5 linked regions of the Oryctolagus cuniculus genome follow. The protein of the gene in region 3 purifies or fractionates together with the protein of the main gene of each other region. This does not show direct contact. Links are inferred from orthologs where the notes say so. Each region holds a gene or a part of one and is shown on either strand. Other genes may lie near its edges.

What was found.
Region 1: the proteins of AP1B1 (region 3) and AP1S1 fractionate together in Homo sapiens (co-fractionation; 6 studies listed by BioGRID and IntAct, with this or other methods). This does not show direct contact. The link is inferred for Oryctolagus cuniculus from reciprocal best matches to the Homo sapiens genes AP1B1 and AP1S1.
Region 2: the proteins of AP1B1 (region 3) and AP1G2 fractionate together in Homo sapiens (co-fractionation; 3 studies listed by BioGRID and IntAct, with this or other methods). This does not show direct contact. The link is inferred for Oryctolagus cuniculus from reciprocal best matches to the Homo sapiens genes AP1B1 and AP1G2.
Region 4: the proteins of AP1B1 (region 3) and EPS15 purify together in Homo sapiens (affinity purification with mass spectrometry; 3 studies listed by BioGRID and IntAct, with this or other methods). This does not show direct contact. The link is inferred for Oryctolagus cuniculus from reciprocal best matches to the Homo sapiens genes AP1B1 and EPS15.
Region 5: the proteins of AP1B1 (region 3) and AP1M2 purify together in Homo sapiens (affinity purification with mass spectrometry; 3 studies listed by BioGRID and IntAct, counting the BioPlex papers as one, with this or other methods). This does not show direct contact. The link is inferred for Oryctolagus cuniculus from reciprocal best matches to the Homo sapiens genes AP1B1 and AP1M2.

What each region holds. Positions count from the first base shown.
Region 1 is NC_091450.1:43,213,274-43,219,380, forward strand, and holds the start of AP1S1 (AP-1 complex subunit sigma-1A), read left to right. Parts: upstream 1-2,543; 5' UTR 2,544-2,668; coding exon 2,669-2,671; intron 2,672-4,267; coding exon 4,268-4,446; intron 4,447-5,177; coding exon 5,178-5,286; intron 5,287-6,107. UniProt on the Homo sapiens protein: Subunit of clathrin-associated adaptor protein complex 1 that plays a role in protein sorting in the late-Golgi/trans-Golgi network (TGN) and/or endosomes.
Region 2 is NC_091443.1:51,513,221-51,518,300, reverse strand, and holds part of AP1G2 (AP-1 complex subunit gamma-like 2), read right to left. Parts: intron 4,914-5,080; coding exon 4,833-4,913; intron 4,581-4,832; coding exon 4,482-4,580; intron 4,326-4,481; coding exon 4,270-4,325; intron 4,130-4,269; coding exon 4,016-4,129; intron 3,876-4,015; coding exon 3,735-3,875; intron 3,660-3,734; coding exon 3,605-3,659; intron 3,522-3,604; coding exon 3,399-3,521; intron 2,815-3,398; coding exon 2,725-2,814; intron 2,642-2,724; coding exon 2,514-2,641; intron 2,317-2,513; coding exon 2,212-2,316; intron 1,930-2,211; coding exon 1,803-1,929; intron 1,721-1,802; coding exon 1,585-1,720; intron 1,299-1,584; exon of another isoform or gene 1,090-1,298; intron 1,089-1,089; exon of another isoform or gene 995-1,088; coding exon 831-994; intron 666-830; coding exon 567-665; intron 482-566; coding exon 380-481; 3' UTR 1-379.
Region 3 is NC_091452.1:22,803,552-22,809,563, forward strand, and holds the start of AP1B1 (AP-1 complex subunit beta-1), read right to left. Parts: upstream 3,882-6,012; 5' UTR 3,705-3,881; intron 1-3,704. UniProt on the Homo sapiens protein: Subunit of clathrin-associated adaptor protein complex 1 that plays a role in protein sorting in the late-Golgi/trans-Golgi network (TGN) and/or endosomes.
Region 4 is NC_091438.1:121,502,432-121,507,906, forward strand, and holds part of EPS15 (epidermal growth factor receptor substrate 15), read left to right. Parts: intron 1-1,095; coding exon 1,096-1,252; intron 1,253-5,475. UniProt on the Homo sapiens protein: Involved in cell growth regulation. May be involved in the regulation of mitogenic signals and control of cell proliferation. Involved in the internalization of ligand-inducible receptors of the receptor tyrosine kinase (RTK) type, in particular EGFR.
Region 5 is NC_091447.1:66,903,135-66,909,290, reverse strand, and holds the start of AP1M2 (AP-1 complex subunit mu-2), read right to left. Parts: upstream 3,387-6,156; 5' UTR 3,270-3,386; coding exon 3,228-3,269; intron 1,393-3,227; coding exon 1,236-1,392; intron 1,070-1,235; coding exon 1,002-1,069; intron 1-1,001. UniProt on the Homo sapiens protein: Subunit of clathrin-associated adaptor protein complex 1 that plays a role in protein sorting in the trans-Golgi network (TGN) and endosomes.

The sequences.
Region 1 (6,107 bases), on a different chromosome or scaffold from region 3:
GGTCTGAGACAACGGAATCCTCAAATGGGGAATTCAACAAACGTCAGGTCAGCGTCAGGCACCATGCTAGGGGCTGCGAAAACAGCAGAAGGCGGCAGTATGTCACCTACTGGAAATAACAGATAGGAGATGTGTGTTACTAAGCGCGGAACTGAAAGCACACACCAAGATGGCCTCCACATGCCAGCGTCCGCCTCCGGGTACCGAGCTCAATATTCGGCTCCAACTCCTGCCTCCAGCTTCCGGCTGATGCAGACCCCGGGAGACAGCAGAGATGGTGCAGGTAGCTGGGTTCCTGTCACCCACGGGGAGATCTGAACCGAATTCCTGGCTCCCCACGTCAGTAGGCCCAGTCCCAACCACCATGGGCGTTTGGGAAGCGAACTAGCAGATGGGCGCTCTCTCCCCCACCCCCGGCTCACTTGCTCGCTCTCTCTCTGTCTCTGCCTCTCAAGAAATTTTTTAAAGTAAAAAGTTATGAAACTAGAATTTAGTACCTTTGGAAGAGAAATCAGATTCAATCATCTGCCTTAGTCTGTTTGCTGCTGCTGTAACGAAACAGCTGAGATTGGATGACTTATTTATTTAAAAAAAAAAAAAAAGATTTATTTTCTGGCTGTGGAGCAGGTGCGCTCAGCGCCTGGTGATGGCCCTGGGCTGCTTGAACTTATGGCAGAAAGTAGACAGATGAGTGGGTGTGTGCAGGTAGAGAGAATGCCACGGGTGGACTCACTTACTAACCACCCACTCCCTGGATCACTAACCCAGTCCCACGAGAGTGAGAATCCACACATAAAGCACTGATTCTTCCTGAAGACCTCCCAAGTCTGCCACACGGAAGAACTGAGTTTCTAACACACGAACTTTTGGGCGACACAGACACACCCCATTGCTATCACCACCTGGATCCTAATTGAGGCTAACCAACCAGCTGCGTGCTGGCAAGAAACGGAGGCAGTCTATGACACCAGCCCAGCGGGCACTTACAGTCCAGGGGAGAGAGGAGGCCGAGTCACACGGGCAGTCAGTGGTCACCACAGCAGGGTAATAGAGTCAGCCGGGTAGAACTCTTGGTAACAGGCAGCAGAAACAAGTCTGGCTGATGGAGCGCTGTGGGGAGAGGGGCGGGCAGAGAGGGAGGCTCAGGGAACCAGGACAGCCAGAGACCCAGGTTGGAGGGGGGTCCCACACTAGCAACAACCCCCGCCTTGTGCCCGTGCCCCCACCCACCCCTTCACTGGACACCATCCCTGCCGCCCTGGACCCACTGACCCTCTGCGGGAGCCGTACCTACCCCCCATCACGTCACACCCACCTCCTTCCCCTCCTGGCCCAAAATCTAGAAAGGTGCCCCTCAAAGACGGGCAGGGCTCTGCGGTGGCGGGGGCGGGGGGTGGAGCTGGACATTTCAAAGGCTCCCTTGCGGGGGCAGTGGTTGGCCCATCTCCCCCTAGACTCACAAAGCGGGGGGACTCCCAAACTCCAAGGCGGGGGTTGAGAGCCTGAGAGGTGACACAGAATGACAAACACCCACCACCGAAAGCATCCAATTGTTCAGGGCTGTTAGAACAGCACACGGATTGCTCGGGAAGAAATAAAAGGAGTTTAAAAAAAAATAGAGATGATTGCAAATGACACTACGCACTCCCTCGTTAGTCACTTAATAGCTGTCTCGGTTATCAACTTGACGGGTGCCGCATCACGGTGCGTGCGTTCAAGTAACTCTTAATAATGGCCCCAAAAGGCAAGAGTAGTGATAAGGGCAATTTTCTCCCAGCATATTGTTATAATTTTTCCATTTCAACCTCTTACGGTGCCTTATTTATAGATTAAACTCTATCAGAGCCTTGGGTTATGGGGTGGGGGGAGACACGGTCTATCTATGCACACGGCTTCAGGTCTATCTGCAGGGGTCTCGGAGCACAGCCTAGGAGAGGAGGAGGGGTCCCGGCCACGTTGCCCATCGGGACACCACGTCACGGCCTCTCTCGGCCCTCGGACACACACACACACACACACACACACACGCGTGATGCAACTGGGTCTAAGGTATCGGAGCCTTGGGATTCTGGCCCCACTGACCCTCCGAGCCTCTATTTCTCTTTTACATTCCCTGGGGGCGCCCCTTCCTGTGTTGCATTCCTCTCGCTTCAAGAGAGGCCAGCGTCTCGAAGCTTCTCCACAGACGGCGCGCGCCCCGTCCGTCTCGCCACCCCGCCGCCCAGTTAGCCACAGCCTTTTGCCCCTTCCCACACCTAACGCCCACCCTGGGCCTCCTCACCAACTCCCAGGACCACCCCACCCACCTCGCACCCCTTTTCCCGCCTTTTGCCCCCACAAGGCCCCGAAGCGCGAGGACCACGCCGGCCTCCTCCCCCATCCTCCGAGCCAACCCACGGGGGCAGCTTGTTTCCATGACGACCGAGCTACTCGAAGCCGAAGTCGAGGACCTGGTTGCCATGGCTTCCGCTTCTCCGCCTCCAGCCCCGCCCGCGCGGCCCCCGGCGCCGGCGCATGCGCAGAGCGCCGCGCGGTGGCACTCCGGGCCTGGGCGGGACGGGGCGGGGCTTCAGCCGAGAGGGAGGGAAGAAGGCGAGAGGATAAGAAAGGGAGTGGAGCTGGCGCCTACGGTGGCCGAAGAGGGACGCGCCGAGCCGGAGGCTGCAGGATGGTAGGCTGTGCGAAGAGCGAGGGGAGGGGGAGCCGAGGAGCGTGGGCTGCACCTGCGGGGGTCCTCGGGGGCCGCCCTCGGAGTGAGCCGCTTTTTCTTCCCTCTGGTCCTCAGAGGGCCTCCCTTAGCTGGGCGAGTGGGCGAGCCGGCCTCGGAAGCCAGAGCTGGAAATGGCACTCGGGAGGGAGCGACGCGGGGAGGGGGCGCCTGTGTGGGACGGGAGGAGGCTGACTAGAGGGCGGCGGGACGGTCGGGAGCCGGGAGGCGCTCTCGGGTCTCCGGGCAAGGGGTCCCGACCTCGGCCGCAGGGAAGCCGGGCGAGGGAGAGAGGGGCGCGGGCGGCCGTGTCCGCGAGGGAGGGAGCGGGGTCACCGAGACCCTTACTCCGGGGCGGCCCGCACCTGCGCGGGGGCCGCGGGGCGCGCGCGGTGTGCGAGGGAGTAGTTTCCGGGTCCGGGAGTGCCCGTCCTGCCCCGGTTCTTGGCCATGCTTGCGGGGAGGCCGGGCCGAGGTGGGGAGGTGGAGTGGGCTCCAGGTTTTGCTCCCGGGGACCCGGGTTCTGGGCTCCCCAGATCTGGTGCTCCTCGCTGTCCAGCCCGCCCCCGTCCCACTCTCTTTCCGGCACCCAGGCCTTCCGTCTTCCTGCTCCTTCGCCGCCACCTGCTTATCTTAGCCCCACACGGATCCCCTGTCCCTGCTCCCCCTCCCCCCAAATAATCCAGTTCTCTCGAACCCTGATTCTTGCCCCTTAAGCTACTACTACTGCACACACCCAGGGGTTCCAGCTCTGGTAGCGTCCATGGGAAGACTCCAGGATGTGGCTCTGGACTCCCAGCTGGGCAGCTGGGGATGCACTTCTCACTACCCAGCTTTCTCTGGGTCCACACACGTTTCCTAGGGGAGCCACCCTGGGTGTGCAGCTCCTAACTGGAATGGGCTCCGGGTGTCTGGGGAGGCGTGGGCTGTCAGAAGCACCCACTGGGAAAGGAAAGAAAAGTTAAGAGGAGCATAGCAGGAATGCTGGATGGCTGCAGAGAGTTGGCTGAGCGTGCCAACATCAGGTGGGCTGTTGGGGGTACTGCGCTGGGCACGGGGCTGGCCCTGGGGGGCAGGGCAAGCTTGGGACATCAGTAGGCAAAGGATGGAAGATTGAGGTAGCCTCTGGAGGCACAAAACACCCAGCTTCTGCCCAGGGCAGTGTGGAAGAGGGTATCCCTGTGCTGTCAGCTGTGTGCTGCCCTAGTCACTGTAGTGTGCATTTCACTCTGGGTAACAGGGTTAGGAAGAGGAGGCCGGGGAATAACAGTGCGAATACGTAATGTGCTACAGCGCCTGCCTTGTGCCAACCACCGTCATCAGCTCCTTTGATCCCTCCTAACAACTCCGTAAGGATGTCCTTACAGTTAGGGAAACTGAGACCTGGCGGCAGAAAGTAATTTGCCAAGGCCATGCCCGACCGGTAGAGCCGGGATTTGACCCGAGCGACAGACACAGGCCGTCTGCTGATGGGAGCACCCCAGTCGACAGCAAGGGGCTGAGTAGAAAAAGGGCAGGGCTCCCTGACGGTCGGCTCCGCTTCTCCCTCCCCACCCCCAGATGCGGTTCATGCTGCTGTTCAGCCGGCAGGGAAAGCTGCGCCTGCAGAAGTGGTACCTGGCCACGTCCGACAAGGAGAGGAAGAAGATGGTGCGGGAGCTCATGCAGGTGGTTCTGGCCCGCAAGCCCAAGATGTGCAGCTTCCTGGAGTGGCGAGACCTCAAAGTCGTCTACAAGAGGTGACCCCTCCCACACACACGCACACGCACCTGCACCTGCACCTGCAGCCGGCCATACCTGGGTTCTGCTGGGCTCAGATGCTGAGACATAAGTGGTGAGGGAAGGCTGGGAGCTAAGGACCTGTGGGTGACAATGACGCATGGGCCCAAGCACTTGGGCCATCCTCCACTGCACTCCCTGGCCACAGCAGAGAGCTGGCCTGGAAGAGGGGCAACCAGGACAGAATCCGGCTCCCCGACCTAGACTAGAACCCGGTGTGCCGGCGCCGCAAGGCGGAGGATTAGCCTAGTGAGCCGCGGCGCCGGCCCCTCTACATGGTTTTGCTCAAGCCAGACACCTGCCCCATGCCCATCCCTCTGTCGCTTGCTGTAGACCCCACCTTTCTGGAACGCACCTGGCTTCTAGTCCCAGAGGCCCTGCCTCACGCTGTGCAGTGTGCACGCGCTCACACACGATTTCTGCCTCCTCCTCCTCTTCCCCTTCCTCCTCCTCCTCCTCCTCAGAGCAGGTAATTAGTTGGCTCAGGTTTTTGCTGAGTCAGTCTGAGCGGGTCAGAGGGCAAGAAGGAAACGAGCACGTGTCTTTGCTGGTTACTGAGAAGCCCTTAGTTACCCTTTGCCCTGGGGTCTCCAGCCCCGTGGTCAGCCAGAGCAGAGACCCTGGGCTGGTCGCCCCGGATGCGTGGGTGCTGAAGCCAGCTGCCAGCCAAGCCTGCTGTGCCCTCCCTCAGATACGCCAGCCTCTACTTCTGCTGCGCCATCGAGGGCCAAGACAATGAGCTCATCACGCTGGAGCTGATCCACCGGTACGTGGAGCTCCTGGACAAATACTTCGGCAGCGTAAGTCTCCCCCTGGCCCACCAATGCCAGCTTCCATGCCCAGTGGTCCCCTCTTTCTGCTCTCCCTTGAGGCCCTCCTAGTCTCTGCCCCAGAAGTCTCAGGGCAGAGGTCAAGCTGGAAGCAGTAAGAGCGGTAATTAATCCCCCTTTTTAAGCTGTAAGCCTATTAGCCGTCCCTTAATCAGCCCTCAAGCCAGGAGTGGGGGGAGAGAGGGGGTTGCGGATCTGGCGCTCGGTCACGGATGGCGCTGCTCGCTCGGACTTCTCACCCAAGGACGGCGACCAGGTTCCGATTTTATCAGCGGATCTCGTCCTTGGCTTTGCACGGAAGAGGTTTTAAAAATAGCAGTGCCCCCATCCCAGCCCCCAGAGGTTCGGGGGGGAGGGTTAGCCTGGGCATTGGCAGGCAGCTCAGATCTTTGATGGGGAGTAGCAATGACCCCGCCATCTGTGTCCCATCTCACCATTTACAAAGTGCTTTTCAAGCTCTCCCGCCTGCTCCCCAGCCTGTCCCCTACGTAGGTGTTGGGCTCCCTGTTTTCAGCTGAGACGTCCAGCTGCTGCAGCTCTGCCCGGCTGCAATGTGCGTCTTCTACCCCATGGTCCACAGTCTGCTCCTGGCCCGCCACGCCGTGCCTGGGGAGGGAGGCTGGCCCAGCCTCTGGTGGGAACAGTGTGACGGATTTTGCCAGAAGGGCAGCAGGAACTGCAGCCAGGCGTAGATGAGGACAAATGTTTCATGACCGGGCAGGAAGAGGCAAGGGGAGGGGAAGAAAAAGCCAAAGCGAGTATAAGGCCTGGGAGTTAGGAGCCCGTGAGAC
Region 2 (5,080 bases), on a different chromosome or scaffold from region 3:
GTCTGACTGCCACCGTGCCCAGCTCTGCCCCAGTTGGTAGAGTGCCTCCTGTGGAAGCTGCGGGCACATCTGCTCCCCATCTGAAGACACTCCTGGTGGAGACGGGTTCCTCGGATGCAGTGGAAGGAGACACATTGGTCGTGTCAGAAGGCTCTCCCCTCGCTGTGATTCACACGCATTTTCTACCTCAAATATACCCAAATATGGCTTTCCAACCCCTTCAGGCTTTATTGGGCTTTCATTATTTGTGGGGGAAGGGACCACCCCCTCCCCCCAGTTTTTGCAGTGGCAAACACAGCGCCGGAGCGCCACCTGCTGGTCAACCTCAGGTGTAGGCCTCAAGCTGTTGTGGCTCCAAGGGTTTGGGATACATGGGGAGTTACTGCCAGGTCTCCACAGGCAAGTTGTTCACCTCAAAGGTCTCCTGGACGGACTGGCCAAGGTGGTGATAGGTGAGGCGCAGCTTCAGCCGCAAGGGGGCCTAGGAACAGGAGAGTGGGGACCAGGGTCAGCGTCCGTGACTTCTCTCATCCCTGGTCTCCCGCCCAGGGGCTCCTGGAGCTCACCTTGTTAGGATTGAGGATTCTGAAAAGCTGGGTGATGGGCAGGCTGCTCCGAGCTGGAACCGTGTCCCCACTGGGGGCCTGCAGCTGCAGCTGCAAACTCTGGGCACAGGCGGTTTGGAGAGAGCCTCCAGTCACGGTGCTTCCAGACCGCTTTCCCGTCAGCCCCCGAGTGCCCGTCTCGGTCTGTCTCCAGCCACCCCCTCTACTTTAAGGCCTTTTCTCCTGGAGTGCCCAGGCCACGTCTGAACCCCGATCTTTACAAACCTTGGGCACAGCAGCCTGGCAGGTGAAATGGGTGACGTCACCCCCCGAGGAGTTGGTGGTGGTGACGGTGATCAGGAGCAAAGCAGGAGTTTCAGGTGGTCGAATGAAAGAGAGGTTCAGCTGTACCCCATCACGCTCAAACGCTTTGCAGTCGGGGATGGCAGCTAGGGTTGGGAGAGAGGCCGCTCAGTGGGCAGGCTGAGAACATGTTCGTTCGTCCATTTTTTCCTCCATTCAGCACCATCTCAGCGAGACTTACTGGTAGTGGCAAAGTAGACAGGAACGTGAGGTTGGCGCTTACACTCGGGGGCGGTGGGGAGAAACAATAAAGGAAGGAAGCCAGACCAGCACAGGCCGTAAGTGGTATTGTGAAGGTGAAATTATGCCGGGATTAACTGGGAAGACTGCAAGAGGAGTGGCAGGGAAAGGCAGCCGGCATTGAGCTGAGGACTGAGCCGGTCTGAAGTGCTGAGGAAAGAACACCCCATATAAAAAGAACTTGAGTCACCAAGCGCATGGCCAGGGAGCGTTTGAGGAGTGAGGGCCAGTGGAGTAGTGATGGGGGTTGTGGCATGAGATGGGCGGGGCCCACAGGCCAAGGTAAAAAGACAAAAGAGAGGCGTGATAGAGTGACCCCTCCCCCTGCTGGGAAGGGGCTGGGGGACCCAGGCGTGGGAAGGGTGACGAGCCTCGGTCCCTGGCTCAGGACCAGGAGCAGCCTTCTCTGAGGCGTCTTCCCTCTGCTGCAGCTCACCTGGGGGTGCAGGTGCACAGGGAAGGTCGAGGAGGTGTACTAAGGTGCCTCCAGGGGGGGGATCCTGAGGAGGCGGGCATGGGGCCTCCCCAGAAGAGCCGTCCAGGAGGTGCAGCAGATCCAAGAGCTTGGAGGCCTGGGCCAAGGACGGAAGGCTCAGGGCTGGGTGTGGAGGCTCCACCCAGGCCGCCTCATCCCAGGGTTTCTGCCTCCCTCACCTGGGGCTCTGCGGGGACAGGGGCCGCGGCTTCCGAAAGCTGGGCAGCCTTGTTGCTTTCCTTTTCTTCCTCTTCAACCCGAGTGCCGCCTCGCTCCACCAGAGGCATCCTTTCAAGAATGGCAGCCCTGAGAGGTGGGAGGGTGGGTGGGTCTCTCTGGGTGGAACAGGAAGCATCTGGGGGTGGGGGCCGTGGCACAGGGCACCGTGGCACAGGGCGGGTCAGAGGGGCCTTTGTGAGTTCCTGAGACAGCGCGCTGTTGCTGGGTTTCACGTGAGCCCGGAGGGCTGGAAGCCAGCACAGCATCGGAGAGCCTCGGGGGGGCTCCCACGTGGATGGGGAAGGCCACAGGCGAGGATGAGACCCTTGGACCGAGTAAGACCGCACTGCAGCGGGCTGCCAGGCACACCTCATGTGGTCGTACTTCCGGAAGAGCGTGTTATACTCCACAGCCCGCTGCTGCAGCTCCACGTCCACGCAGCTCCCGTAGATGGACACCACCTGGCGGATGCGGCTGCGCCACAGTGCGGCACGTGAGTGGCAGTGGCAGTGAGCCCTGCCCTGTGCTCCACGCTCTGGCAGGGCCGGGAGAGGCTGCACAGAGTAAGGAGACCCCTGGGATAGCTGGCCCTAGGGACAGGGGAACAGTGGGGCCTGTGTCTGCAGGGGTGCTCAGCGAAGGGAGTCTCAAGGGCTCGGCCCCCTCCTCACTTGTTGTCCCCGCGGAACCGGGTGCTGAGCTTCATGAGGGCCGTGAGGGCGTAGGCTCTGGTGGCTGGCAGGGACAGATGGGACTGCAGCACCTTTTCCAACAGTGCCAACACCTCCTCTTCTTCCACCTTCGGGCGTGGATGAGGTAGTGAGCCTGGGCCCAGCCCTGCCCACCCTGTCCCTCTCCAGTGAACCCCCACGCAGGTCTCACCTGAAGGGGTTCAGTTTCCTCGCAGTTTCCCTCTAATAAGAGGTCCCCAAATTCCCCAATGCACCAGGCTGCCACCTGCACCAGCGGTTGCTGTGTGGGATGAGAAACACCACAGGTCAGTGTCTGGGTCAGTCCCACACTCTGCAGCCTCCCTAGGTAGTGCAGAGATAGTGGAGCTTGGCAGGGTGGGAAGAGGTGACTTTGATAGCTGGCTCTGTCCTGGTGTCCAGGCGCCCACTGCCCTCTGGTGGCCAAGCATTATAACTACATGGCCTAAACGCACTATGGTGGCAGAGGGTCCCCAGAGGAAGGGGTAGTGGTTTCGGCCCACCGGGCTTAAGGTGAAAAAGGACACTACAGATGCTGGCTGGCATCGGTTAATCACTCAGCATTCAAGGGAATAGCAACATCGAAGACGTGCAGAATGAGCTTTGATCTGATCTGATGCTCACGGCAGCTATGGGGGACAGGCAGGGTAGAAGGAACTTAAATAAAGTCCCATTAGTCATCTGTGGTTACACAGCCAGTAGGTAGCAAGGCCAGGACAGAAGCCCAGTGTTCTCACTAAAAAACAGCCCTGGCCTTGGGTGTCTCCTGCACCAAGTAGCTGCGACATGGATTGGGATGGAGGAAGCAGGTGGGCAGCCCTGGGCCTGGGAAGATGGGATCGGTACCTGGGAGATATCATTTGCCAGGGCACTGTAGAGGCGGCACACTGAGTAGGCGTGTAACTCCCGGGCCCCCCCAATCAGCTGGATCAGGTTGGCCACTGCGTCATCCCGCACATGGGTGCCTACCTGGAGGGGTGGGAGGACACAGCCAGGTCACTATGCTCAGCTCTGCCCACTCCTCCCCGCTCCCTGGCCAGCCCCCACCTCACCGTTGTCAGCACGTGCAGGATGGTGTCTATGTGCCACCGTTTGCTTGGAGCGAACCTGGGGGACATGGCTCATCAGGGCTGACCCTGCCGAGACTCGCCCCGCTCTGCTTCCCTGCACTTGTCGCCTCACCTTTCCGCAGCCAGCAGGATGCCCGAGGCACAGTCAGCCCGGAGGTCAGGCGGGCAGTACTCCAGGAAGGCCTGCAGCTCCCGAATCATGGCTCGCACATTTGAGCTATTCACCAGGGCCAAGCTCAGCTCCAGGGCCCGCCTGGAGGGAAAAAGACAAGTGCCTAAGCGGACCCTCCCCTGCTCCAGGCAGCTGTCCCTGTAATGCCCTTGCTGCAGGTGCTCTGAGTTGCTCTGGGCCCTCTCCCCTGCTGCCCTGGTGAACCCTTGCTCTCCGCTCACCGGCTGAGGGAGGCGTCGGTTTCCTGCAGACACTCCACCACCGTGGGCCGGTGCCGCTGCACGGCCCCGTGGTCGGACTGCACCAGCCGCAGCAGCGATGTCAGGGCCACATACCTGCTCGGGGTGGGGGGTGGGGGGCGGGGAGGCTCTATCATGCCATGGCCATCAGCCCGCAGCCCCGGTGAGAGGGAGGTGGATGAGGGGGCTCTGGAGGACACGGTGGCACAGCCCAGCCAGACACCTGGGTCTGTTACCTAATGTTCTTGTCACTGTTGAGCAGGAAGCGGCCAAGAATGTTGACAGCTAGGACCTAAGGGAGGCGGCGGTCAGGGGAGGAGCAACCCGCTCATTCAGGGGCAGGGACCCCGGGGCACAGGATGACGGGGTAGGAAGGAGAGACCAGTGAACAGGACCCGAGTGCCTGGCCGGGGGGCAGTAGGCGGGCCACAGTGGGACAGGCCGATACCCGCAGGCCGGCTGCAGAGCGGATGTCCATGATGGTGAGCACGGTCTCAAACAGGATGGCGCTGCCCGCGTTGCGGCTGGTGTCTGTGTTAGTGGCCACCTGAGCGGACAGTAAGGAGAGCTCCATCTGCATGGGGCCCCGCAAGGTCTCTACCACGTCATCTCTCCACCCCTCAGCCATCCAAAGGAGTGGCCGCCAGGTGCTAAGGCCAGACTGGGCGCTAAAGATTGAGCCCTCCTGCAGGGAGCCCACTGTCTTGAGGGGACGGGGAGGGCAAGGTCAGGCGAGGGGTGCACAGGGCTGGGGTAACACAGCAGCATAGCTGACCCATGCCCCTCCCCAGCGCCCCACCTGGGCCAGCAAGTCATTCATGGCCTCGCTGCTCTCCTCGTGGCTCCGGCCCAGAATGCGAAGCAGACGAAGTATCTGCACCTGTGGTTGGGTTAAAGGTTGAAAGGCGGATATGAGAAAGGAGCACGGGGCTGGTGACCCAAAGGGCAGTGTTGTGAGGGGTCTGGCCGTGCCCTGGAGCTCTGCGTGCCTCTCCTTCCTCCACAGGCCCCTTGAACCCTGGGAGGGATCACAGGTGGGCGAGGCCA
Region 3 (6,012 bases):
AAAAAAAAAAAAAAAAGAAGAGCTCAAACTGAAGACAGCGAAGTGTAGAGTTGGGGCTCACAGAAGGGGCACAAAGCTGAGCTGGACCGGAGCTTGGGAAGTGGTGGAGGCGTGGGGGGAGACGGGGAAGGCAGGGTCAGAGCCCAAAACGCCTTGAATGCTGTGCTGAGGAACCCGAGTTTTAGTCTCAGAACAATGATGGATTCCAAAGTGAGATTTTTTTTTTTTTTTTATTTGACAGGCAGAGTTAGACAGTGAGAGAGTGAGAGAGAGAGAGAAAGGTCTTCCTTTTCCATTGGTTCACCCCCAGATGGCTGCTATGGCCGGCGTACTGCACTGATCCAAAGCCAGGAGCCAGGAGCTTCCTCCTGGTCTCCCATGCAGGTGCAGGGCCCAAGGACTTGGACCATCCTCCACTGCCTTTTCGGGCCACAGCAGAGCTGGACTGGAAGAGGAGCAACCGGGACTAGAACCTGGAGTGCCGGCGCTGCAGGCAGAGGATTAGCCTAGTGAACCACAGCGCCGGCCAGAGAATTTTTTCTATAAAGGATTCCAATTGCTTGGGTGACATTTTTCTTTCTGGGGTATTTGTTCCTCTCTATGTGAAGAGATAAAGAACAGGAAAATCATTTCTGGACTGTGATAACATCACTGACCTATCTTAGGCCCGCCCGGAAAAAGCAAATTCTTCAAGGAACAGATGACAGCTCAACTTTGAGAAACACACCCCAGCTCCCTGAAGGCCTGCTGAGCTGGGGGTTTTCTGGGAAGCCAGCAGTTAAGACAAGCGCTAGTTTCAGAGGACAGCTGGAGAACGATCAAAGTCCAAGGCCAGGGCCAGCAGGACCAACAGACCAAGCAGTTCTGAAACACTTTTAGGAAATGAAACAAAAAGGGTGGGAGACGTTCTGAAGACAGAGAGGCCTCTGTCTGCAGAGGGAAGTAACGCCCAGACGTCCGCAGTCACAGGCCCCAGTGCGAGTTAACTGGCTGCGACCAAGGTACCCACAGGCTCTGCACAAATTTCCTCATTGAACCCGAACACAAGGCAGGGGTGGAGGGAGAGGGGCAGTATTAGTTCAGAGCGGAGTTAAAGGAGCCCCAGCCCAGGTAAATCACCCAGGTCACAGGAGCTGGAAGCCAGGACCCACTGGGTTGGACGGCACTTTCCATCAGACCTGAGGGAGACCTTCAAGCCGCTCAGGGAGGAGCCCCTGCCCAACTCTCACACTCGGCAACCCTGAGACCCAGTGGAGCCGGTCCTCACGCCATCTGAGCGGTGAGAGCTCAACTCAGGGCACAGATGACCTGTGCTCTCTCATGTTCCCGCCTTCTGTGACAAGTCACTTTATCCCGATTCTTCCCTTGGAAGGAGGAGGATAAGGTGACAATATTAAGTTTCTGTGAAGTCAGTGGCACTAGGAGAACAGATCATAGAGTTAAAGAGAATACCAGTACTACCCTAACATTTCTATCAGAGCTTTTTTTTTTTTTTTTGACAGAGTTAGACAGAGAGAAAGGTCTTCCTTCCGTTGGTTCACCCCCAAAATGGCCACTACGGCCGGAGCTATGCCGATCCGAAGCCAGTAGCTTCCTCCCAGTCTCCCATGCGGGTGCAGGGCCCAAGCACTTGGGCCGTCCTCCACTGCCGTCCCAGGCCACAGCAGAGAGCTGGACTGAAAGAGGAGCAACCGGGACTAGAACCCAGCGCCATATGGGATGCCGGCGCCACAGGTGGAGGATTAACCAAGTGAACCACGGCGCCAGCCCTCTATCAGAGCTTTCTTCAAAAGCAGGTGGACACCGCACAGGGAGATTAACGGTTAAGACACCTAAGAGGGGCCAGCACTGTGGCGTAGCGGGTGAAGCTGCAGCCCGCAAGCTGGTATTCCATATGAGTGCTGGTTCGAGTCCCTGCTGCTCCACTTCTGATCCAGCTCCCGGCTCTTGTGCCTAGGAAAGCATCGGAGGATGGCCCAAGTCCTTGGGCCTCTGCACCCACGTGGGAAACCCGGAAGAGGACTCTGGCTCCTAGCTTCGGCCTGGCCCAACCCTGACCACTGTGGCCATCTGGGGAGTGAGCTAGTAGATGGAAGATCTCTCTTTCTCCCTCTCTCTGTAACTGTGCCTTTCAAATTATTTATTTGAAAGGCAGAGGCAGAGAAAGAGTGCAAGTGAGAAGTCTTCCATCCGCTGGTTCTCTCCCCAAATGGCCACAACAGCCAGGAGCTTCTTCCGGGTCTCCCACACAGGTTGCAAGGGTCCAAGGACTTGGGCCATCTTCCACTTCTTTCTCAGGCCATAGCAGAGAGCTGGATCAGAAATGGTGCGGCCAAAACTCAAACTAGCACTCACATGGAATGCCGGTAGTACAGGAAGCGGCTTTACCCAGTACGCCACAGTGTCAGCTCCTAAAATAAATCTTAAAAAAAAAAAAAAAAAGACACCAGGAGAGGGTAGGAAGGCAGCAGGTCTTTCTCACGCTGCTGTCTGGGAAACTGAGGCGGAAGTGCAGTGGTCACTATCTGGAAGAAAGCTCAGACACAGAGCCTGACCCTCGGCCACCAAGCGTCTCCTCTCCCAGGCAGGACCACGTGGGCTCTGCACACTTCTCAGAGGGGCGAAGACTTCCCTCTGGGTACACGCTTCCACACCCAAGACCCCCTGATGGTCATCTGGGTGCCCTCTTTATTCCAAAAGGAAAGCAGTTCTTGAGCTACTTCTCAAGAGATCCGAACCATCGGCTTCACGGATAACCCGTTCGGGGTCTCACAGTTCCCAACAGTCAGGAAAACCTTCAACGCGTGCCCCTGCAAGATCACTTACAACAGCCTGCCCGGCTGCCTCACGGTGAAGAAAGCAAACCAAATGCCCCTTAGGAAAGATCAGGCAATAAGGGCACGTCTTGACCCTGACCCACGCCCCTAAAAATATGAACCAGCCCCTCACGCCCGATCACGGCGCCCCTCTCTCCATGGTCTCTGTACTTTGAGGCCCCGAACGCCTAAGCAGGAACCCTGGCTCTGCCCCTCCTGCCCAACTGGCCTTCCATGCGTGATCTGACCTCCCTGGATAAAAGGGGGACGAAACACCAGCGCCCTGGCAAAGGACTCGATGTGCACTGTACGTAAAGCGCTCGGCACAGCTGCGCACACACAGTAGGAGCTCAAGACTCAGCAGGGGGTCCTCAGTATCTCTTAGCATTGTTTTCAGACGTCCCCATGCCGTCCACTCGTCCCCGGAGCGCCAACGGACAGACCAAGCCCAAGTCCACCCGGGCGGCACAAGGCTGGTTTTTTCTTTTCTAACTTTAATTTTTCCTTTCTGAACCTCGGCCCTGGACGCCGACGAGGCCTCGGGATGACCACGGGGGTAACGGTGAAAAGGGAAACCAGAGCCCGCAGAGGAGCTTCCCCCACCCGGCCAGAGACGGGAGTCTCGGGGCCTAAGGTCCGGGAGTCTCCGGGCGGGCGCCCCGAGAGCGCCTACGGACACGGGGCGCCCGCGGTCCGGGCCGGCGGCCAAGCGGGCGCGAATGAATGAACCCGAGTCCTTCCGCCCCGTCCGGCCCCGGGACGCCGCCGCGCGCCCACGGCGCCGCGTCCTCCCCGTGACCTCTGACCCCCACAAACCCCTCACCTCAGACCCCCCGACGCCCCCACGCCGCTCCTTCTGCTACCTCGCGGCGCCCCCTGCTTCCTCACCGGCAAGTCCGAACGGCTCCTGGAGCCACGGCTCGGTTCGGCTCGGCAGCAAAATGTCCGCGGCCTCCTGCTCCTCCTCCCACCCTGCCGGTGCGTCCGTGCCGCCGGCTGCTCCGAGCCCCGCGGCTGTCACCTGCCGGGCGGAAGTGAGCTGCCCGCGCGCGGGCACTTCCGGTGGACGCACGGCCGGGGGGCGGGATCAAGGGTACGACGCGGGCAGGGGAGGGGCCCGGGGAGGGGCGGGTGCGAGTGCAGGGAAGGGGGCGGAGCCTGCGGGCAGGCACTTCTGCGAGGCCGCGGCGCTGTCTCCGCCGAGGTCTTGGAAAAGCCACGCAGCTGCGTACTAGTGGCGGCGGCCACCCCGTTCCTGACTGCGGCACACCGTGCATCTGCTCCTGCTAGATACTGTCTGCTCATCCCGCTTTCAAACGCCGCTCGCCCAGGAGGCCGCAGGGGGTGGTCCTGCACCGGGTCCCCGCCGCCCACCTGGATGCCCGGCTCCTGGCTTCTGCCTGGTCCGGCTGCAGCCCAGGAGAGAACCAGGGAGATGGGAGGCCTCTCTGCCTTTCAAATAAAAAAAATAAAAATTGCATTGCAGAGCAGGGAAAACCCACTGGTAACCAAAGCGAAGATAAAAGTTCACCTTCAATCTCACTTCCCTGAGATAATCACTTCCAATATTTTGGGGAAGGTTCTTTTAGGCTTGATGATATGGTTTGATTTTCTTTAAAAAGTTTTTTTAATTGAATTTTTAAATTTATTTGAAAGGTAGTGTGAGAGAGAGCAAGAGAGAGAGGGACAGACTGGCTGGTTCACTCCCTCAATGCCCTCAAAAGCCAGGGTTGTTCCAGGCTGAGGCCGGGGGCCTGGAGCGCCATCCAGGTCTCCCAGGTGGGTGGCAGGGACCAGGTTCTTGGCACCATCACGGCTGCCGGCCAGCAGGAAGCCGGGGCTGGAGCTGAGCAGGACTTGAACCCAGACCCTCCAGCAGTGGATGCAGGCCAATCACGTGGTCTTCCCGCAGCCCCGGGTGCCTGCCCCTCACTCACCAAGATTATGCTAAAAAAAAGTCCTGAAACAATGAGCACATTTCTTTCTCCGTGGTGTTTTCTGCCCTTGTGTGGATGGCACCTCTCTTCTCTGAAGCGATCCCCTAAGGTTGTACATCAGGTTGGTATTAATTTTTTTTTTTTTTTTGACAGGCAGAATGGACAGTGAGAGAGAGAGACAGAGAAAAAGGTCTTCCTTTTGCCGTTGGTTCACCCTCCAATGGCCGCCGCGGCCGGCGGGCTGCAGCCAGCGCATCGCACTGATCCAATGCCAGGAGCCAGGTGCTTCTCCTGGTCTCCCATGGGGTGCAGGGCCCAAGCACTTGGGCCATCCTCCACTGCCTTCCCGGGCCACAGCAGAGAGCTGGACTGGAAGAGGGGCAACCGGGACAGAATCCGGCGCCCCGACCGGGACTAGAACCTGGTGTGCCGGCGCCGCAAGGTGGAGGATTAGTCTAGTGAGCCGCAGCGCTGGCCATATTTTTAATATTACAAAAACTTAATAAATAAGCTTGTAAGCCAAGTCTGTATGTTCCATCTAATACATATATAATTGATTCAATATTCAATACACATTTGTGCTTCAACGGTCTTAAACAGTTTCTGAAATTTTTTGTTTTGAAATAATTGTAGGGGCTGGTGCTGTGGCGTAGCAGGTAAAGCCTCCACCTGCGGTGCTGGCATCCTGTATGGGTGCCGGTTCGAGTCCCAACTGTTCCACTTCCGATCCAGCTCTCTGCTGTGGCCTGGGAAAGCAGTAGAAGATGACCCAAGTCCTTGGGCCCCTGCACCCACGTGGGAGACCCGGAAGAAGCTCCTGGCTCCTGGCTTCAGATCAGCCAGCTCTGGCCATTGCAGCCATCTGGGGAGTGAACCAGCGGATAGAAGACCTCTCTCTCTCTCTCTCTCTCTCTCTCTCTGCCTCTCCTTCTCTCTGTGTGTAAATCTGACTTTCAAATAAATAAATAAATCTTTCTTTAAAAAAAAAAGAATTATAGACTTACAGGAGATTACAGAAGCCATATAAAAAGAGTCCCGTGTACCCCACACTCAGTTTCCCTCAAGGACAACCTTTTACCTGTCCGTAGTAGGATATCAAAACTATCGCTACTGGTCAGGGTCAGTGCCGGGGCTCACTTGGTTAATCCTCTGCCTGCGGTACTGGCATGCCATATGGGCTCCAGGTTCTAGTCCCGGTTGCTCCTCTTCCAGTCCAGCTCTCTGCTGTGGCCCGGGAAGGCAGTGGAGGATGGCCCAAG
Region 4 (5,475 bases), on a different chromosome or scaffold from region 3:
AAGGTATATGTATGCTTACACACTTTATATAGGGATATAACAGTTGATTCATATAAAAGACAGACCTAAGTGTCTTTAATTAATTTCACATTAAGTAAGATAATATTTATGAAAATATTTTGTAACATGCCTTTTACCAATCAGAGGTCATCTTGAGACAGCAAATATCAAAAGTTGAGCCACATAGTTGTAGAGAAGCTTAGAACTAAGAAAAGAGGATGGTAGATTTGTTTCAAAAAAAGCATGGACTGAAGACTGAGAAGGATTAAGTATACGTAAGTTCGGGGTGCTGGACTAGATACTGTGCTCAGTAGATGGCCACTGTCACAGAAACTAAGAACTTGGAGAGATTAAAAATTGTGACCAAGGACACAAGAAGAAATAAGAAAATAATGGAATTCAAGGCCTGTTTGAGACTGTAACCCATAGTCCTTTCATCAGGCCACATTGGCTTTCAATAAAATATTTCAAATGAAATCTGTTTTTAAACAGGTTAGGACTTTAGAAAACTGAGCTTTAAAAAGAAAAGGAAAATAGAACGAGACATTTGCTGTTTCTCTTCAAGTGATTTTGTAAAGCTTTCCAGATTGCTGCCTTCTCCTCACATGTGATCTCCATTTGCAGCTGTTCTTTCTGCTTTGACTCGGTGATCCTTGTACCCTCCTACTCCAAGGCTTGCAGGAAGCCAGATGATGTGGAAATTTTTCCTTGTCTCAGAGCCACTCTAATGCTGTCAACTAGCCAGAATTGTTGACGCTTAGGTTTAATCTTGAACAAGTCATGTTAAAAATTTGGGTAACAGGAAATGTTGGGATTCTTTGGCCCACCACAGCTCTTACTTTGTTGTGTTTCTAGAATTTGTTAATAAGTACAAAGTAAATCCAGATTAGAGGCCCCTGCTCAGCACTAGGTGAATTAGTTCCACTTTAGTATCTTAACTGGTCTATCTCTTCTAATATTTGAGCTGAGTTTTGGACAAGCTGCAACTTGGCCTTTTTAATTCAAGTGATTATTTTTAAAAAGACACATACTTGTGGTTTTCTTCTGGGTTTTTAGGATGGCATTGTGATGTTTATAAACTGTTTATTTATACAGGGCATTATGTGACCCAAAGAGCTGTGGGAAACTTTCAAAAGATCAGTTTGCCTTGGCTTTTCACTTAATCAATCAAAAGTTAATAAAAGGCATTGATCCTCCTCTCATTCTCACTCCTGAGATGATTCCACCATCAGATAGGACGAGTTTACAAAAGGTAAGACAACTTAAAAACAAAAAACAAAACAAAAACCCTGAAGCATTAACACAAAGTTGCAAGTACCATGTCAGATGGCAGATTGTATTCAGATAAAACACTGGAGAATAAGTATCTGGGCAGGAGCAGAGCAGTGTAATGTTTGTGCTTATTTTGTACCTCTAGATATGCTTGAGTGCCTTGTATAACATCTTTGACCTGCAACTGTTTATTCCCACCACTCATTACACATCCAACAATTATATTTTCTAATCTTAAAATTGGAAAAATATGGCTTTATTTTTCCTCCCTGGATTTGTGATTTATTTTTAATTAATATAGTATAAATGTTAAGTAACAGGTACAAGAATTAAATTACTATTTCATCTAATGATTTACTCTTATAGAAAAAAGGGTATAAATTAAATTTGAAAACAAAGTCTAGGAGATGACGATTACTTGGTATCAGTTTTACATCAAAAAAGTACCTAAGGAAAACCTTATATTGAGACTAAATCTATAGGTTTTGTGGTGTCCCCCCCCCCCCCATAGATGATTCTTTATTCCTGAGTCTATAGGTGACTATCTGAATAGCCAGGAGCAAATTTTAGCTACATTTCCTTTCTGAGTAGCAGTGGGAATGTTCATAATTGTTGTTTTAGCCACGTTGTGCCTTGATTTTTCTCTCCTCAGCCAGAAACCTTTTGGGGAATAATGCATTCACAGGATCTTTAAAATGACTAGCATAATATAGTACCTATTTGTCTTTTTTTTTCTTTTTTTTTTTTAAATTTTTTGACAGGCAGAGTGGACAATGAGAGAGAGAGACAGAGACAAAGGTCTTCCTTTGCCGTTGGTTCACCCTCCAATGGCCGCCACGGCTGGCGCGCTGCGGCCAGCGCACCGCGCTGATCCAAAGGCAGGAGCCAGGTGCTTATCCTGGTCTCCCATGGGGTGCAGGGCCCAAGGACTTGAGCCATCCTCCACTGCACTGCCGGGCCACAGCAGAGAGCTGGTCTGGAAGAGAGGCAACCGGGACAGAATCCGGCGCCCCGACCGGGACTAGAACCCGGTGGCCGGCGCCACAAGGCAGAGGATTAGCCTATTGAGCTGCGGCGCTGGCCATACCTATTTGTCTTTAAAAATAATTCTTGATGATTCTTCAGGGCTGTGTATTATAGGAGCTGTCAAATGTCTGGTTTGAGGAGAGGTCCATCTCCAAACCAATAGGATATTTTGGTTTCATGTTAATTTTTTCAGATGGATTTTTTAAAATCCCACTTAAACAACCTAATAAAAGTAAAAATTCCTGAGGGGTAAGTGTTTGGCTCAACTGTTGGTATACCTGCATCCTGTATTGAAATGACTGGTTTGAGTCCTGCCTGTTCTGCTTCCCATCCAGCTTCCTGCTGGTGCACATCCTGAGAGACAGCAAGTAATGCCTCAGATACTTGAGTCCCTGCCACTTTTGTGGGAGACCTAGACTGAGTTCCAGGCTCCTGGCTTTGCCCCAGCCTACCCCATGCAAATGTGGGCATTTGGAGAATGACCAATAGATAGAAGAGCTGTCTTTCTCCCCGTCTGTGTCTTTCAAGTAAAGTGAAAATAAATAAATAGCAATTTAAGAAAACAAGGCAAAATTGGATGTTTTCCCTAAGTAAACTGAATGGAATTTATAATACTCATTATAGAGTGTTACTTATTGGAATTTTGCTCTTTATTTTTTTTTAATTAATTAAAAAGCCAGACAGAGTACCTATCTACTTGTTGACTCCCCCCAGTTCCCACAGTGGCCGAGGCTGAACCAGAGCCAGGCTTGATCCAGGTGTTGCGAACGCAAGCTAGAGCTTTCACATGGGTAGCAGTAACCCAATTATTTGAGGTATTACTGGTTCCTCCCAGGGCTGCATTAGTAGGAACATGGAATCAGGAGTGGAGCCAAGAACTAAACCCAGGCCCTCTGGTATGGGGCATCTTAACAGCTAGGCTAAATGCCCACTCCCTGCCTTTATTCTTTTTTTTTTTAAGTTTTTATTTTTTATTTGAGAGTTAAGAGTTAAAGACAGTGAGAGGGAGAGACAGAGAGAAAGGTCTTCCTTCTGTTGGTTCACTCCCCAAATGGCCACAAAGGCTGGAGTCGTGCCGATCTGAAGCCAGGAGCCAGGAGTTTCTTCCTGGTCTCCCACTGTGGGTGCAGGAGCCCAAGGACTTGGGCCATCTTCTACTGCTTTCCCAGGCCCTAGCAGAGAGCTGGACTGGAAGAGGAGCAACCGGGACTAGAACTGGCACCCACATGGGATGCAGGCGTTACAGGCGGAGGATTAACCTACTGTGCCACGGCGCCAGCCCCTCTCCTTATTCTTAATAAAATAAATACCCGATTATCTGCTTTGTGAGATATTCAAGAGGGAGGAATGTTTTGTGATTATTTTTGGGTTCCTTGTGATGTACGACATAGGTTCCATAAATTGCAGAGAAGGCTTAAGTGATGTTACCGGGAAGATAAAAGTTACTGAATTTGTATTTATGCTCTCTGTAACTGTATCTCAGTTATGGCATAATTTTTTTCTAATAGGCAGAGTTAGACAGTGAGAGAGAGAGAGAGATGGAGAGAAAGGTCTTCCTTCCGTTGGTTCATCCCCCAAATGGCCGCTATGGCCGGTGCGCTGCAGCCAGTGCACTGCGCTGATCTGAAGCCAGGAGCCAGGTGCTTCCTCCTGGTCTCCCATGCGTATGCAGGGCCCAAGCACCTGGGCCATCCTCCAGTGCCCCATCCAGGACTAGAACCCGGTGCCGACACCACAGGCGGAGGATTAGCCAAGTGAGCCGCAGCACCGGCCAGGCATAATGTTTTGTTTTGTCTTTTGTTTCACTGATCTGGACTGTTTTTTTCTTACTGTTTGCGTTTTATAACCTTTTGTCTCCAACCAACACAAATTACAGATATAAAACAGCTTTCTAAAGCAAATTATTTTTGTTCATTGAAGGCTCTCTAATAATAGTAGGTACTTGAAGTTATAACTGGAAAGCAAAATGTTTATTTAGTAGATTTCTCTGAGGTCTGTTCAGTAGAGCATAGACATTGCAGATATCAGTATTGTTCATTGAGGTAGAGTTTCATCACTGATGTCTTATCTATTAACCAAAAATTATAACTTTAAAAAACTAAAATTTGCATTTGTCTTACCTTACAGATAATTGCTTTTCTCTTTGTAACCTGATTTTTTAAAAATATTGCACTTTTTGCAGCTTTGACTAATCCTTTTCCAAATGTTGCTTTCCTTTCTGTGTTTTTTTCTAGTTTGGACTGTTTTTTCCATTCTGCAACACTGCTTCTCGCCTTTCTTGTACTGTCAGTTTCTTAACTCTACTCTATCAAGGTTAGACTTTTATTTTTTGCCTCTTTTTTAGCATTGTGTTTTTTGGTTTACGTGATACATTTTGAAATTAGAGGTGTTTTTTTTTTTTTTTAATGCATTAAAGTTGGTGAAGAGAAAATACCTGCACAGCATGCTTTTGTCACATGTCACTTGGTCCTTGTGTGCGTATTAGCTTGCCTTCACTTGGCTCTCTGACCCACTTAAAATCACCAAAATGGAATTTTTGTATAATGCACAAAACAGGGTGAGAGAAGATATTTTGAAAGAAGGGTATGTGCTCTATTTTTCTTTGTATACTCTTCATTTGCTGCATAAAATATGTGCTGAATTTTTTTCCATGCTTCCTTGATGCATGTCATTTTAGAGTCATTGGGGGTATCACTTTCTAACTGATTTGAGGTTAAACTAATTTGTCTCGCTTTGTCTTCTTTGATGCTGTTTTTCATAGCAAAAGACTCAGATGTGAGTCACTCTTTGAGTTACAGTGATGGAAGAGGTATAAAAGTCATGAGTTTTTTGGTACACTTGTACCTCTGAGAGCAAATTTCTCAGTAGCAATATAAGTGATGTAAGTTCCTTTTGGTGATAGAAGTATGAGACCAAGTACTAATTTTTCATTTTGTTTACCTCTCTAGCTATCTGGCCAAGCTTAGCTTATAGGTCAAATTTAGATAGAGTTATTTTTACTAATCTAACCCAAGTGAATAAATAATTTATATTCAAAAATCCACATTAAAACATCTAGTTTAATTTAGCATTGAAAGGGGACTCTGTATCAACAGAACACAGTAGAACAATTAACAAGTGTTTTTGGTAAAGATTTGTAATTAATGTAAAATTGAGAGTAGAATTAACTGAATCCTT
Region 5 (6,156 bases), on a different chromosome or scaffold from region 3:
TTTGGGCTCCTGGCTCTGGCCTGGCCCTGCCCTGGCTGCTGCAGCCATTTGGGGGAGGGAACCAGCAATGGAAGATCGATCTCGATCGATCACTCTGCCTTTCAAATAAATAAATAGCACCTCACACACATGCACACATGGAGATGGAAAAGGGACTGTGCTTTACAGCAACACCCAAGTTCATGGCTGTGCAGAATCCTACCCACGAGCCCTTGCGGGCCTGGGGCCCACTGGTTAAGAGCCCCCAGTGGGAGGGGGCATTTGGCACAGCAGGTAAGACCCCTCTTATCCCAGCAACTCTGCCCCAACTCCAGCTCCCTGCGAATGCACAGCCTGGGAGGTGGCTAACTCAGGGCCTTGGGGAGTAGGCAGGACAGGTTGTAGCTGCAGGACACAGAAGCAGCCATGAGTGCACTCTTGCCCATCTCAGGCTCCCTCCAGGTCCCGCCCTGCAGCCGCAGTCCTGGAGCCCCGCACTGCCCATGGGTAAGGCCCTCTGCTGACCAAGGAGCCATGGGTAGCCCTCTCCTCAGTGCACAACAGGAGAACCTTCCCCATCTGCCACCCTGCCTCCCAGGGTGTGCACCAGCACAGGGCTGGACTGGAAGCAGAGCGGGGACTCAAACCCCAGCACTCTGATGTGTGGGTGCCCCGGCGGCATCTCAACAGCTGTGCCAAGAGCCCGCCCCTCTCTGCGGGGTGTTAGACTTGTCATAACCCCCCCCCCCCAGCTTAGGGGCACAGAGAGGAGCAGTGACTCGCCCAAGGTCACACAGCCAGGAAGTAGGGCAGCTGGCACCAGACCCCAAGCTCTCTGGCTCAGTTGCCCACACCCACAGGGGCCTCCCTGGTGCCTGCTCCCACAAGCAAATGAGACACAGCTGGGCTGGGGTTTTGATACCCCAGCCTATGGAAGCCTTCCTGAGAGAGATGGCCCCTGAAAGGGGCGGGCAAAATAAATGACGGACAGGGCGGCCAGCCTATGAGACACCAGTACCTACCTCCACTGTCTTATAAAGGAAGGAGTATACCAGGGAAGCGTTGGCGTTCTTCAACGTGGTGGCCACCACTGGGGGCAGCAAGGGTCAAGGAAAAGGTACCCTTTGAGGGCGGGAACGGACCCCACCTCCCCCACGCACCTGACCCATGCTGTGCAACTTCCACCCTCTGCTCACCCTCTCTGGGCCGGAGCAGCCAGCACCTGGGCTCCAGGGACCCCCGCCTGGGTGGGATACAGTAGAGGTTGCTGTGTTTGATCCACAGGAAGTGGACCCGGCCGTGGCTCAGCAGCGGGGCCAGGGACCCCTCCTCCTCCTGCTGCATGAGCAGGGGCATGAAGTGGTCGATCTCGCTCATGGCCACGTCGCCCTTGTAGTTGCGGCTGATCAGGGGCTGCGGGCGGGCAGAGGGGACCGGTCACGGCCAGCGGTGGGGCCTGTCTCAGCTTCTGCCGCCTTCTCGGCGTCATGGGTGCGTGGTAACAGCTGCTCAGGTGGCTGGAGACCCCCCCCCCCCAGCCCAGCCCAGCCCCAGCCCAGCCCCAGCCTTCCCTCCACCAGCGACCGGCTGCTGGCCGACGCATTCCACTCCCGCCACCATCCTGCAAGACAGGTGTCAGCATCTCCATTTTGTAGATGGGGAAGTTGAGGCCAGAGCCCCAGATCCAAAGGACGTGAAGCAAGGGAGCTGCGACCGGTGCACCTGGGTGCAGAATCCCTGCCTGGGGTCCCGGGGCTTCCTACACCAAAGCAGGGAGTTTGGGACTATGTAAGGGGGAAAAAAAAAAAAAGAGGAAAGAAAAGCTATACCTATGTGTTTCTTTGAGCCATTACAGCTCTGCCTGGGAGGGAGCAAACAGTAATCAATCATAGTACCAGGAGCCTTCAGAGAGTCCACGGGAGATGTGTATTATGGAAAAAGCGATGCATGGATTTTTTTTTTTTTTTTTAAGTGCACCAAAACCAAACTCGTCTTGGAATGCGGTTTTCCAGTAACTGGCGCGCGCTCCCGGAGGGGACGATGGTACTCGGCTCTGGTTGAACTGAGCCTGCGGCTGGCTTTGGGCTACTGGGCCAAGCGGCTGCCATGCGCCCATTTGTGCAATTCTCCTGGGCCGCGGGTTTCTTGTCCCCACTTTTCCACACGGGGAAACTGAGGTTCGGAGAAGCCAGGGCCTGGGCTAACCCATGGCGGAGGTGGGATGCGGCCCCCGACCCCCAGGGGCTGCAGGGCCGGGGAGGGGGGGTGCGAGGACCCCGTGGTGGAGGTGGGATGGGACCCCGACCCCCAGGGGCTGCAGGGCCGGGTGGAGGGGGCGCGAGGACCCCGTGGTGGAGGTGGGATGGGACCCCGACCCCTAGGGGCTGCAGGGCCGGGTGGAGGGGGGCAGGAGGACCCCGTGGTGGAGGTGGGATGGGACCCCGACCCCTAGGGACTGCAGGGCCGGGGAGGGGGGCAAGAGGGCCCGTCGCAGAGGTGGGATGTGGTGACCCCCGACCCCCAGGGGCTACAGGGCCAGGGAGGGGGGCGAGAGGGCCCTGTGCCGGAGGTGGGATGTGACCCCCGACCCCTAGGGACTGCAGGGCGTGGGGGGGCAGGAGGACCCCGTCGCAGAGGTGGGATGCGACCCCCGACCCCCAGGGACTGCAGGGCCCGGGGAGGGGGGCAGGAGGACCCCGTGGCGGAGGTGGGATGCGACCCCGACCCCCAGGGACTGCAGGGCCCGGGGAGGGGGGCGCGAGGACCCCCTCGCAGAGGTGGGATGCGGCGACCCCCTACCCCTAGGGGCTACAGGGCCAGGGAGGGGGGCGAGAGGGCCCTGTGCCGGAGGTGGGATGTGACCCCCGACCCCTAGGGACTGCAGGGCGTGGGGGGGGCAGGAGGACCCCGTGGCGGAGGTGGGATGGGACCCCGACCCTTAGGGACTGCAGTGCCAGGGAGGGGGGGCGCGAGGACCCCGTCGCAGAGGTGGGATGTGGTGACCCCCGACCCCCAGGGGCTGCAGGGCCAGGGAGGGGGGCGCGAGGACCCCGTGGCAGAGGTGGGATGCAGCCCCGACCCCCAGGGACTGCAGGGCCGGGTGGAGGGGGCGCGAGGACCCCATGGCGGAGGTGGGATGCGGCCCCCGACCCCTAGGCGCTGCAGGGCCGGAGAGGGGGCCGGAGGAGTTCCCACGCCGCGCTCCGCGGCCGCCCCTGCCCGTCGCCCGCCCGAGCGCCCGGCCTCACCTTGCCCTTCACGTCGAGAATGAACACGGCCGAGGCGGACATGGTGGCGGGCGGGCGGGCGGCCGAGCCAGCAGGCGGGGAGCGAGCGCCGGGAGGCGACGGCGGCGCGGCTTCCTCCTTCCTGCGGAAGCGCCCGCGCCCAGGTGAGCGCCCAGGTGAGCGCGCCTTAAAGGGGAGGCCCCCAGGTGAGCGGCGCGGTCGGCCGACGCAAAAGGCGGCGACGGCGGGGAGGGGCCGCGGGCGGGGCGGCTTCGCCAGGAACAGCCGCCCTGGGTCGCTTTACCCCGATGCAGGCGGGCGGGGGTCCTATAGGGCCGGACCCCGCCCCATATCCACCTGCGCAGCCCGCCAGTCGTTCACCCATCCATTCAGGCGCCGTGCGTCCCACGCCAGCCCAGGGTCCTGGTGATGTTTGTGGCCCAGGTGCCCTGTGTGGTCGTCACGTTTCTCCAATTCCCTCGTCCAGACGGCAAATGTTATCCCTGCGAGTTTTCCACTCAGTGCCAGAACCTGGCCGCGCTCGCCAAAGGGCAAACGTCAAATGTAGATGCTTTAGGGTGTTTGGCTACTAATGTTGCTCTTTCCTAAAAAGATGTGTTTATTTATTTACTTACTTGAAAGAGAAAGTGACAGAGAGAGAGAGATCTTCCATCCACTGACTCACTCTCCAAATGGTCACCACGGTCAGCGCTGGCCCAGGCCAACACCAGGAGCCAGGAACTCCACCCGGGTGTCCCAGCCGGGTGTCAGGGGCCCAGGTGCGTGGGCCACTGGCGGGGAGCCAGTCTGGAAGCCGCAGAGCAGCTGAGACCCGAGCTGGCACTCCGATCCGGGGTGCCGATGTTACAGGAGGCAGCTCCACACCCAGCACCACCACACTGCCCAGCCAGGTTACCCGGATTTGTTATTGACAAAAATAGGTATTGCTAGATATTGACAAAGTCTGGGGCCGGCCCTATGGCCCAGGGGGTTAAGCCACCTCCCGGAGATCGGAAGAAGCTCCTGGCTCCTGGCTTTGGATCGGCCCAGCTCCGGCCATTGCAGCCATTTGGGGAGTGAAGCAGTGGATGGAAGACCTCTCTCTCTCTCTCTCTCTCTCTCTCTCTCTCTCTCTCTCTCTCCCTTTCAAATAAATAAGTAGATCTTTAAGAGACCCATGCACGTCCTTTATGACGATGACTGTATTATACAATAGGATTCATTATTGAGCAACTGCTGTTTGCTAAACTGGCCACACGGCGGCTGTTTTGTTAGGGACTTGGTGAATTACTCGGTGCTGTGCGTGGCGGGGCAGAGAAAGCCGGCACCCTTGCTCCAGGGGAGATGAGAGGTGCAACGGAAAAACCAAAAGCGAACACCGAGGACTCTAATCTCGCACATCCCAGGCGCCCTGGGAGGGTCACAGGGGCCCCGTACACCAGCGATCACGAGTCAATCTGAGTTGTCATTAATTGATGTGTTCAAGAGGCGCAGACAGAGAGGGGCTGGCATTGCGGTGCAGTGGTTTGAGCCACCCACTGTGACGCCGGCATCCCGGATGAGCTCCAGTTCAAGTCCCCGGCTGCTCCACTTCCAACCCAGCTCCCTGCTAATGCCCTTGGGAAGGCAGCGGAAGATGGCCCAAGCGCTTGGGTTCCTGCCGCCCATGTGGGAGACCTGGATGGAGCTCTTGGCTCCTGGCTTCAGGTAGGCGCAGCGCCGGCCGTAGCAGCCATTTGGGGGGTGAACCAATGGAAGGAAGACCTTTCTCTCTGTCTCTCTCTCACTGTCTAACTCTGCCTATCAAAAAAAAAAAGAGAGAGAGAGAGAGAGAGAGCGCACACTCCCATCCACAGGTCCTCTCCCCACAGGCCCTCATGCACCAGAACTAGACTGGGGCAGAGTTAGAAGCTAAGAACTCACTCCAGGTCTCCCATGTGGACAGCAGGGGCTCAGGTACTTGAGCCGCTGTCACCTGCTGCCTCCTGGGGTGCGCATGTGCTGGGAGCTGGGGTCAGGGGCGGGAGATGGGACTGAAACGCAGGCCCTCCGGTGCAGGACGCAGGCATCTTCGAGTCCTTACTGCACCGTACATTGGCTGCGAGGCATGGGCTGGTGACTGGACTTCCTGTGCCTCAGTCTCTCTTTCTGTTTAATGGGTACAACCGCCATGTGCTCCCTGCTCAGACTGCCTGGCACAGGGCCTCGGCTCCAGGCACGCTCTGGTACTCCAGCCACCATGACACCAATGGCTTAGCCCCACGGCTTCCTGTGGTTTCAACTGAAGGGCCGTTTGGGGAGGGGGCAAATCTCAGCTTGGCCCAAACTCCCCTGGCTCCACTGATGGAGGAGGAGGGCCTGCAGGCCCCCAGGGGTGACCCCCTGCTGCCCAGCCACATCTCCCTGTCCCCAAACTCAGCCCCAGACCTTCATCAGCTCTGGGGGGGGGGGGGCGCTGACAGAGTCAGGTGAGAGGCAGCCAATTGAATTCCTCACTCCTGCGCGGGTGTTGGGGCAGCATGAAGACGCGGCCTGCGACCCCCTGCATCCCACAGCAGCGGGCCTGGGTGGCAATCCCGGCTCAGCTTCCGGCTGATGCGCCTGGGAAACCAGCAGGTGATGGCTCGAGTCTCTGGGCCCCTGCCACCCACGTGGGAGACCCGGATGGAGCTCCTGGCTCCTGGCTTCAGCTTGGCCCAGCCCTGGCTGTTGTGGCCATTTGGGGGAGAGAACCAGCAGAGGGAGGATCTCTCTGTCTGTCTCTGACTCTCTGCCTTTCAAATAAATAATTTACAAAAAAAAAAAAAGTGCCCCAAGGCAATGCGGGTGGGGACAGGCCCTCACCTCCTAGGCCCCCAACCTTTTTTTTTTTTTTTTTTTTTTTTTTTTTTTTTTGTCAGGCAGAGTGGACAGTGAGAGAGAGAGAGACAGAGAGAAAGGTCTTCCTTTG